2 linked regions of the Rattus norvegicus genome follow. The protein of the gene in region 1 purifies or fractionates together with the protein of each later gene. This does not show direct contact. Links are inferred from orthologs where the notes say so. Each region holds a gene or a part of one and is shown on either strand. Other genes may lie near its edges.

Evidence for each region.
Region 2: the proteins of Kat7 (region 1) and Brpf3 purify together in Homo sapiens (affinity purification with mass spectrometry; 3 studies listed by BioGRID and IntAct, counting the BioPlex papers as one, with this or other methods). This does not show direct contact. The link is inferred for Rattus norvegicus from reciprocal best matches to the Homo sapiens genes KAT7 and BRPF3.

The regions. Positions count from the first base shown.
Region 1 is NC_086028.1:80,717,583-80,721,443, forward strand, and holds the end of Kat7 (histone acetyltransferase KAT7), read right to left. Parts: coding exon 3,848-3,861; intron 3,040-3,847; coding exon 2,933-3,039; intron 2,401-2,932; coding exon 2,299-2,400; 3' UTR 753-2,298; downstream 1-752. UniProt on the Homo sapiens protein: Catalytic subunit of histone acetyltransferase HBO1 complexes, which specifically mediate acetylation of histone H3 at 'Lys-14' (H3K14ac), thereby regulating various processes, such as gene transcription, protein ubiquitination, immune regulation, stem cell pluripotent and self-renewal maintenance and embryonic development.
Region 2 is NC_086038.1:6,870,967-6,875,410, reverse strand, and holds the start of Brpf3 (bromodomain and PHD finger-containing protein 3), read right to left. Parts: upstream 2,827-4,444; 5' UTR 2,826-2,826; coding exon of another isoform or gene 2,800-2,825; coding exon 1,355-2,799; intron 441-1,354; exon of another isoform or gene 417-440; intron 1-416. UniProt on the Homo sapiens protein: Scaffold subunit of various histone acetyltransferase (HAT) complexes, such as the MOZ/MORF and HBO1 complexes, which have a histone H3 acetyltransferase activity.

The sequences.
Region 1 (3,861 bases):
CTGGAAAGGTTCCAGCTTTAGTGGTGACTAGTCTGACAGGATCAGGACTGTGCAACCTTTCTCTCTCCCTTCCTGGCATTCAATCCTCATGGTCCATGTTGCCTACCTTCACTCTTCAAACTGAGAGAGAACAAAATCTCCCTCTGCGGCAAATGTTTACAACACAGAGACTTGAACAAACCCTGTTCTGAGATCAATAGAAGGGAGGTTATTTTTCTCCATTGCATTTTCCAACTCCAATAAGAGGCCTTGCCAGTGAGCAGACACAGCTCCCTTTCCACCACAGATGGCAATGCCCAACCTCCCTGCTCCTGCCTGAGCAAACACAAGCAAAGAATGCAGCTATTTCCAGGGGCATAATCTAGGTTGCATAATGATTAGACACAGCTCGACTTGCTCCCAGTGAACATGCTTGGAGGAAAGGAATACACTTACTTGTCTCTGCCTCCTACAGGCATCCATGGACTCCCCAGCCTACCTTAACTTTCCATTGGTTCCTTGACCCCAAACCAGAGGCAGATGAATGAAAGAGTGGGTTATACTAACTAGTTACTGTTGTGCATAACTACTTCCTGGAGCCAGGGGAGGCAGACTGCATTTGTTCTACCACTTCTGAGCAGAGAAAACACTGTCAACAACTGCTGCACAGGGGAAAACACTCCACAGCTACAAACCCCACTGCTAACACTTCAGAGTCACCAACTCCAGGTCAAGCATACCATTTCACAAATAAACAAGCCTCAGACTAATCAGACATGAGCAGAGAACATGCTTTATTGAGTAGATACAGAAGAGCACATTCTACCACGTGTGGGGAAGGGCTCAGCATCCGTGAAAGGCCTTTACCCTTAAGAAAACCCCCAGGAAGCGGCTTTTGGATACATTTTAACAGTTACACTGAAACTGGAGGGGAGCCGCCACTGAACATGCTTAAAATCAGCTCCCTCCAACCCACAGTGAATATTAGTAGTGTACAGAGATGACAAGAGAAAGGCACAAATGACCAGAGTTAGGGTTGTGGTGAGAGGGTGCCACGTGAAGACAGCAGTGCTGGAGGAGACAAGTTGGGAAGGGTGACATGTCAGACATCAAAAGCTGCCCCAAGATAGCAGGTTATATACTGGGACAGGGAGAAATTAGAGGGGACATTTCTTCCTTCACTCAACACCACCAAAAATAGGAACCCAGAGAACAGGATGATGGTGGCAAGTCCCGAAAGGGAAATGAGTTAGTTCTTAGACAGAAGCACTTCAGCCTGCTGGGGGAGGCACTGTTGGAAAGGGAAGCGAACCGTAGCAGTGCGGCCACTCTGTCTTGCTGAGTCACGGGCTGAGAAACACAAGTCATTTCAAACATTTTCCACTTCTCCCAGGAAGCTCTGGACAAAATCAGTGCAACTTACATGGAAAGTACAGCTGCCCCACACCAGGCTGGCGAAGGCAGTGTGGAAAGACCCACAGCGGGATCACTTGATGTGGCATGAAAAAAGATTGTTAAAATATTTTGGCAACTGCCAACATAAAAGGGGGCAGAAAAAAAGTGGGGCATTTCTGCTGTGGAAAAAATTACCCATTCATTTCCACCAGCAAGATGCTGCCCCAGTGCCCATAAGTAAATACAAAGGAAAACACAGGATCACCACCTCTTAAACTTCACCGACTCACTCAGATGGACCAGGGCCTGTGAACCCCTGGGAATTGTCAGGCGTTCCTAGCTCTGGGTCAGCCTGACCCTGATCAAAGTTAAGTCTTTTGACAAAAAGGGAGAAAAATAAGTGACTGTGAGATGAAATGCAGGGTGAGCGGACCCTCCCAGCAGACACACAGACACTCACAGGCACTGCCTCTTGCCCACCCCTTCATGAAGAATGTGTGAGGACTAACTGGAAAGGGCCCTTTGGTGGCAACCATGTTTGGAGGTCTGGTAACCAGGCAGGAAAAAGCACTAGCACAAAGGTCAGGACACAACAAACTTCACGGGGTTAAAGAGCATGAAGAGGGGACCAGTGACTGGACAGGTACAGTACCATAACACAACTCCTTGGGTCAGTGCTACGAGGGATCTGTACTCGAGCCTAATACAGATCCATCCAGGCAACCTCACTGAGGCCGAAACAACAGTTCCTCAGAACCAGTGTCTGCAGTGTACACGCAGGTTGGAGCCAGAACAGTGCTGAGGGGGTGGCCTTCCCAGAGGATACTATACTTGCCAATCACAAGAGCAACAGAAATGACAGACAGATCCCTAGGGTACGGATTTCTACTGCTGGGGCTCGCTGGCTCAGAATGACAGGTCACTTTAAGTGCCCTTGGGAGGGGTCCATTTTAAGCAGCTTGGATCCATGGTTTTGTTGGAGTTGGACCTTTTGGCCTCTTTGGCGATCCATTCATCTATCAGGTCCTGTGAAGAATAAGGAAGCGACTATTATACACACGGAACTAATACGCTTTAAAATGACTAGCAACAGATTCACCCAAGTCCTAATGATATATTAGGGTACAAGATGATATTATCTTTTGATTTGCAAAGTTTCCTCTTTATTCCTATTCTGCCTTCAATGAGAACTGGAAATCATTATTATTGATTTATGCTTATGATGTGTAGATAACTAACAAGTCAGACTGGACCTAAGCTGAAGTGGCATTCCACATAACAACAGTCCTAGAACTCAGGAGGACTTGAAGAGATGGGCCTAAGTGTAAAGCCACACAAAGCCGCTTAGCTTGTGTCATCCAGATCTGACAGAGCTTACCAAAAGCTCTGATAAGGACAAGCAGGGAGATAAGCTTAGCAACAAAGGCCCTGTGGACCTTGCTGCCAGCTGGAAGAAGGCTAGGAGGAGCTTCCAGCTAAGCCCTCGAAGGGAAGGTAACTGTGGGTAGCGCGGCCCCTGTACTTTAAGGACACCACAGGCAGCTGAGGAAAATCTCACCTGTCTCTTTAAAACTAGGTGCTTCCCTTTCCAATACTTGAGCATCTGAAGGGCTTGCAGAGTGCTGACAATGTCCACGGGATTCACAGCTGTTTCCTGGCTAATTTCTGTAACAGAGGAGCCACTGAGATCCCACTGGGAGCAGACTCCCACACCCCATGTCTCCCAAGGCCCCCTTACATGGAGTTTCCCAGAGTCCAAATCTGTGTTACTTGGGTCAACCTGTTCAAATGTTTCACCAGCCCAAGTAACTTCAAAAAACCATTTAATGGTTAAGAAGCTACTTTTGACCCCTTAGAAATCAAGGTCAAATATGAAACCCCTAAATTCATCCTAAAGGGAAGATGTCTTTCCTAAAATTCACATGTTTCAGAATGCTGAATGATATCTTGATTTTCAAAAGCAATGAGGTGCTGGACATAGTGGCACACCTCTTCAGTCCCAGCACTTAGGAAGCAGAGCAGGCGGGTCTGCTCTACACAGTGAATTCCAGGATAGCTAGGGGTACAAAGAGAAACCCTGACTCGAAAAACAAGCAAACAAATGACATATATGCTTGTGTCTGTATGCATGTCTATTTTATGTGGATGGGTGTTTTGCCTGGATGTATGTCTATGAACCTGTGTGTTCCTGGAACTGGAGTTCCATGTGTTGTGGGCCATAATAGTGGTGCTATGAATTGAACTCAGTTTCTCTGGAAGAAGAGCCAGTGCTCTTAACCACTGAGCCATCTCTCCAGGTCTTTCTCTTATATGAATTAAGTGCTAACAACTCCAGACAGGAGAAAACACTTTAGAACCATTCCCAGGACAGATGTTCTGGGATCTTCAGCCCTGCAGCGGCGGTCTCTGGAATGCTCCCTAGCCACGGTCGGATTAAACAGAATGGGGGCCACAGTCAAGGAATGCAACCTACCTTTGATGGAGATC
Region 2 (4,444 bases), on another chromosome or scaffold:
TGGGAAAGGCACCTCAAACAGCCATGACAACCAAAAGCTAGCCCCAGGGCACGGTCACCCTACAAATGGGGACCGAGCACTGACCCAGTTACTTCAAGAAAGAGGTAACCAAGACCATCTCTGTGCCTGGAAGACACAGAGTTGCTGAAGTTCTCAAAATAAGAGCCTCCCTGTCCTGATCTTGTTCTGGTACCTTCCCAGCATGGCAGGTCTGGCTGCCTGTTCCTCTCCTAGTGCCAATTTCCTGCACCCTGCCAGATGCTCCTTTATCATAGCCTTCTACTCAAGACAGCCTAGCGCCTACAGCCCAGCGCCTGACCTTTCCCACCTGATCCCACCCCTTAGAACAGGATGTGGCATGTAGTAAGTGCTCAATAAATACCTCATTGAACGAACAAAGGAGAGAACAACTTTACCTCCCGTGGCTGTGGTTTCTTCATCTGGGAATGTGGGAGAAGGTGCAAGGACTACATTAGATGAATAGTCTCCGAGATTCCCTCCTCCTCTACAGCTTGTCTCCTTTCCTTTTTTTTTTTCTGAACATGGGCTTGCTGTGCAGCCCTTACTGGCCTAGAACTCATGACTTACAGCAGGCTAGACTTGAACTTCCAGAAATTCACCTGACTCTGCCTCCCAAGTGCTGGGGTTAAAGGTGTATACCACCACACCCAGCTTCTACTGTATATGTTTTAAAGGAATCAGCCTTGAGGTGGGCTCTGCTGGAACCCACCAGCATCCCCAGCTACTGAACAGATAGTTTAACACAGGTGCAGTGCTCTCTCTGAGGACGGGGCCGGGAGGCTTGGTTATAAAGCTCTATTTTCCCCAAAATGTAAAGCTTCTCAAGAGGAGGACTGCCCCACCCACACACATCCCTCATAAACAAGTTCCCAGTCTTTCCCGGATGAGAGATTTTCAGAAGGCAGGTGTTACACACTTAGGGCTCCTCACTTGGAATTGAGTTTTGGGGAGCCTGCGTGAGAGCCCTTGGAGTTGTCACAGAGATGAGTTTAAGGACACAGCCTGCACATACTAATCATCTCTGCAAAGACCAGAGATGATAACCATATAGCGATCCCCGGGACAGTTAACAGTGAGGATTTACCCTGTCCACAATGTCACTCAGTGTCACTGTGAAAGCTACCACGTCACTTACACTGTCACCAGGGTTTATGTCACTCTGAACCAAAGGAAGCACATTGCTTCGAGGGCACGGACAGAACCCGTCAGTTAGTGACAGGCCCATCAGGGAACACAGAGGAGACCAGGCATCCAGCCACGGTGTTGGCGAAGACCTGGGCTACTGTGAAGAACAAACCAAGAGTCCCGCAAGAGACTGTCTCATGAGGCTCACCTGTAAGAGGGTATCTGTGGGACAGTGACCATGGGGACAGTGATGGAGGGTGTCTCTCGGCCAGCTTCCTCCAGCTCCTTCTTGATCTTCTGCTTTGAAGTCATCTTACTCTTCTTGGACACCCCCTTGAGGGGGCTGCCCACCCCACCTTGGCCTTCCTGGCCCTCCTCCTCTCCTTCTTCCTGTTCCTCCTCCCCACCACCCTCTTTCAGCCCATCCTCATCCCCGACTTCACTGAGGCTCCTCGGTGAGTCACCCTTCCTCCTGGCAGTGGCAACACTTGGGGAGTGGGCCTCGCAGTAGGCGGTCTTGCGCACGGTAAAGATGGTGCCATTGAGACTGGTTTCTCTCATGGGTTCAATCTTCATGAACAGCCCGGCCCGCTGCGCGCACGTCACGTGGAAGGCGGTGTAGCAGTTCACTTTATGGCACTGGATGGCCGCGCCCAGCCCCTTCTGCTTGCAGATGTAGCAGGTTAGCTTCCAGCGGGCAGGCGGGATGCTGTCGATGCCCTCAATGGGCTCCAGGAACACCGTATTGGCGAAGCAGACTTCAGGGATCCAGATGGCGCAGACTACATGGGCCCAGTGGCCATCACTGGTCTGTTTGAAGGCCCCCCCTTTATTGGGGCACAGGACACAATCCACAGGCCGAGAGGGAGACTGCAGGCAGCAGCGGCAGAGCCACTGGCCCTCTGGGATGTAGGGAACGCCGTAGCACTCCTGGTGCACAGCTAAGTTGCAGATGTCGCAGAAGAGGATGACGTTGCTGTTGTGGCACTCATCATCCAGGCACACGCAGCAGAAGGCGTCCTCGTCGATCAGTGACTGCTGAGCCCCACTGCTGCGGCTCTCCAGGTACGACTCCTTCTCAAGCCGGTCCACCAGCAGCTCGAAGGTGTCCGCCGACACGGAGCTGTGCCCGTCTGCTCGGCGCTTCTCATTGACCATGTCGAGCCAGGCCATGTCCTCCTCGTCCATGTCATACTCCACCTCTGCGTCCAGATCTTCCGGAGGCTTCTCGATGTAGCGGTAGTAAGCAGCGGGCAATGGGGGTGCTTCCGGCTGGCTCCCTGTGTCCACCACTCGAAAGCTGGGCTGCGGGAGGTGGAAGGACGTGCCGGGTGCATGCTTGGAACAGGACTCCTTCTTCTTGCCCTTGGATGAGGGTTTCTTGGACTTGGCGGGGAACTGGGGCTGCTCGCTGTTCTCCTTGTTGCTGTTGCATTCGGTGATATCCTGAGCCGTCAGCTCATCCTCGGTGATGATCTTAAGCGGGTCATAAATGCTGATACGGTGCAGGCGGCCGTCCATATCGACTTCCACGATCCTCTGGGCTTGGGCGTAGGTCAAGGTCTCCCGTGTGGGTGAGCATTTAAGACTGTATGGGGATGGGGATCTCCGGCCCTCGGCATTCTGCCGTGACTTTCGGCGAGGCTTCCTCATGGCAACTGGAAAGGACGAAGACAGGCCTAAGGAGAGAAGGCCACGGGAGTGTGAGCTGGATGTCCCTTGCTGCATGCACTCATTCACCCTCCATCCATTCAAATGGACACCAAAAGGTCTGTTTCCTGTCTAAACAATACCCCTCTAAAGCAGTGGTTCTCAACTTTCTTAACACTGCGGCCCTGGAATGCAGTTCCGCATGTTGTGGTGACCCCTCCCCCAAACACAGTTATTTTCATTACTATTTCATAACTGTAATCTTGCTATTGTTATGAGTCGTAATGTAAATATCTGTTTTCCAATGGTCTTAGACGATCCCTATGAAAACAGTGGTTTGACCCCTGCCAAAGGGGTCAAGACCCACAGGTTGAGAACTGCTGATTTAAAGGCCTCTCACTCTTAAATCTCTTTACAAGCATCACATCGGTGAAACGTTTTCTCTGGTCACTTTAAAATTGCAAATCTCAGTTGGGCAGTGGTGGTGTACACCTTTAAATCCTAGCTCTCAAGAGGCAAGTAGATCTCTAAGTTCCAGGCCAGCCTGGTCTACAAAACGGAGTCCAGAACACCCAGGGCTACACAGAGAAACCCTATCTTGGGAGGAAAACAACAGCAAATCCCTTACCTCACCCAGCAATGGGCTGTTCATCCTATTTCCTATTTTAGTTTTTGGTAACACCATCTTCTAAGCTACGTAATTTACCAGTTTACCATGCTTGTTACTCTACTTCTAGCTGAATGTGAACTACACAGAGGAAGGAGTTATCTATCTTATTCCCTGGGAAGTGTCTGAAAAGATGCCTAGAAAAGCGAGCCCTCGCAAGTGCTAGGTGACTGAAACCACATACTTCTGTGTTTGTGTGTGTATGCGTATGTCTGCACGTGGAAGCCAGAAACTTACGTCAGGTGTCTTCCTCAATCATGAGCCACCTCATTTTGTTTGGGATGAAATCTCTTGCTGAATCTGGAGTTTGGGGTTCAGTTAGATTGGCTGGTCAATGAACACCCAGAGCTACGTGTCTCTGTCCCAACTGTTGTAGGGCTTACTTAAGTTCAGTTTGGGGTTTCTACCCCGCCTTTGATCATTTGGTTTTTGGGTAAAATGCACACGTTATTTACAATAAGCCGTAGTTAGCACTGGAGCTCAGCAGATATCTACCCTCTATGTTGTTAAAATCTATTTTTTAATCAACAACCTCAAGTTATTACTATGTTTTATCTGGGCTGCTCTTAACTTTAATTGCCACCCCTGGGGCTATGCTTTCTTTCTTTCTTTCTTTCTTTCTTTCTTTTTTTTTCTTTTTTCTTTTTTTCGGAGCTGGGGACTGAACCCAGGGCCTTGTGCTTGCTAGGCAAGCGCTCTACCACTGAGCTAAATCCCCAACCCCGGGGCTGTGCTTTCTTGACTCCTAACCCATGGCGTCTCCCTCCTTTTACCTTTTTCTCTTTCTCCCCTGGGAGAAAGAGATTAAAAACTGATATAAATATGTCTAAGGATGCATGGTCAGGCTTTGATGTCAATGCTTAGGAGACGAAAACAAGAATAGTTAGGCTCCTGGTGAGCCTCAGGCCAGCCCACTGCACCCAATACTCGAGTTAGAGGCCCACTTTGCATTTGACTTTTAGTGGGTGCTGAAGCTCAAAC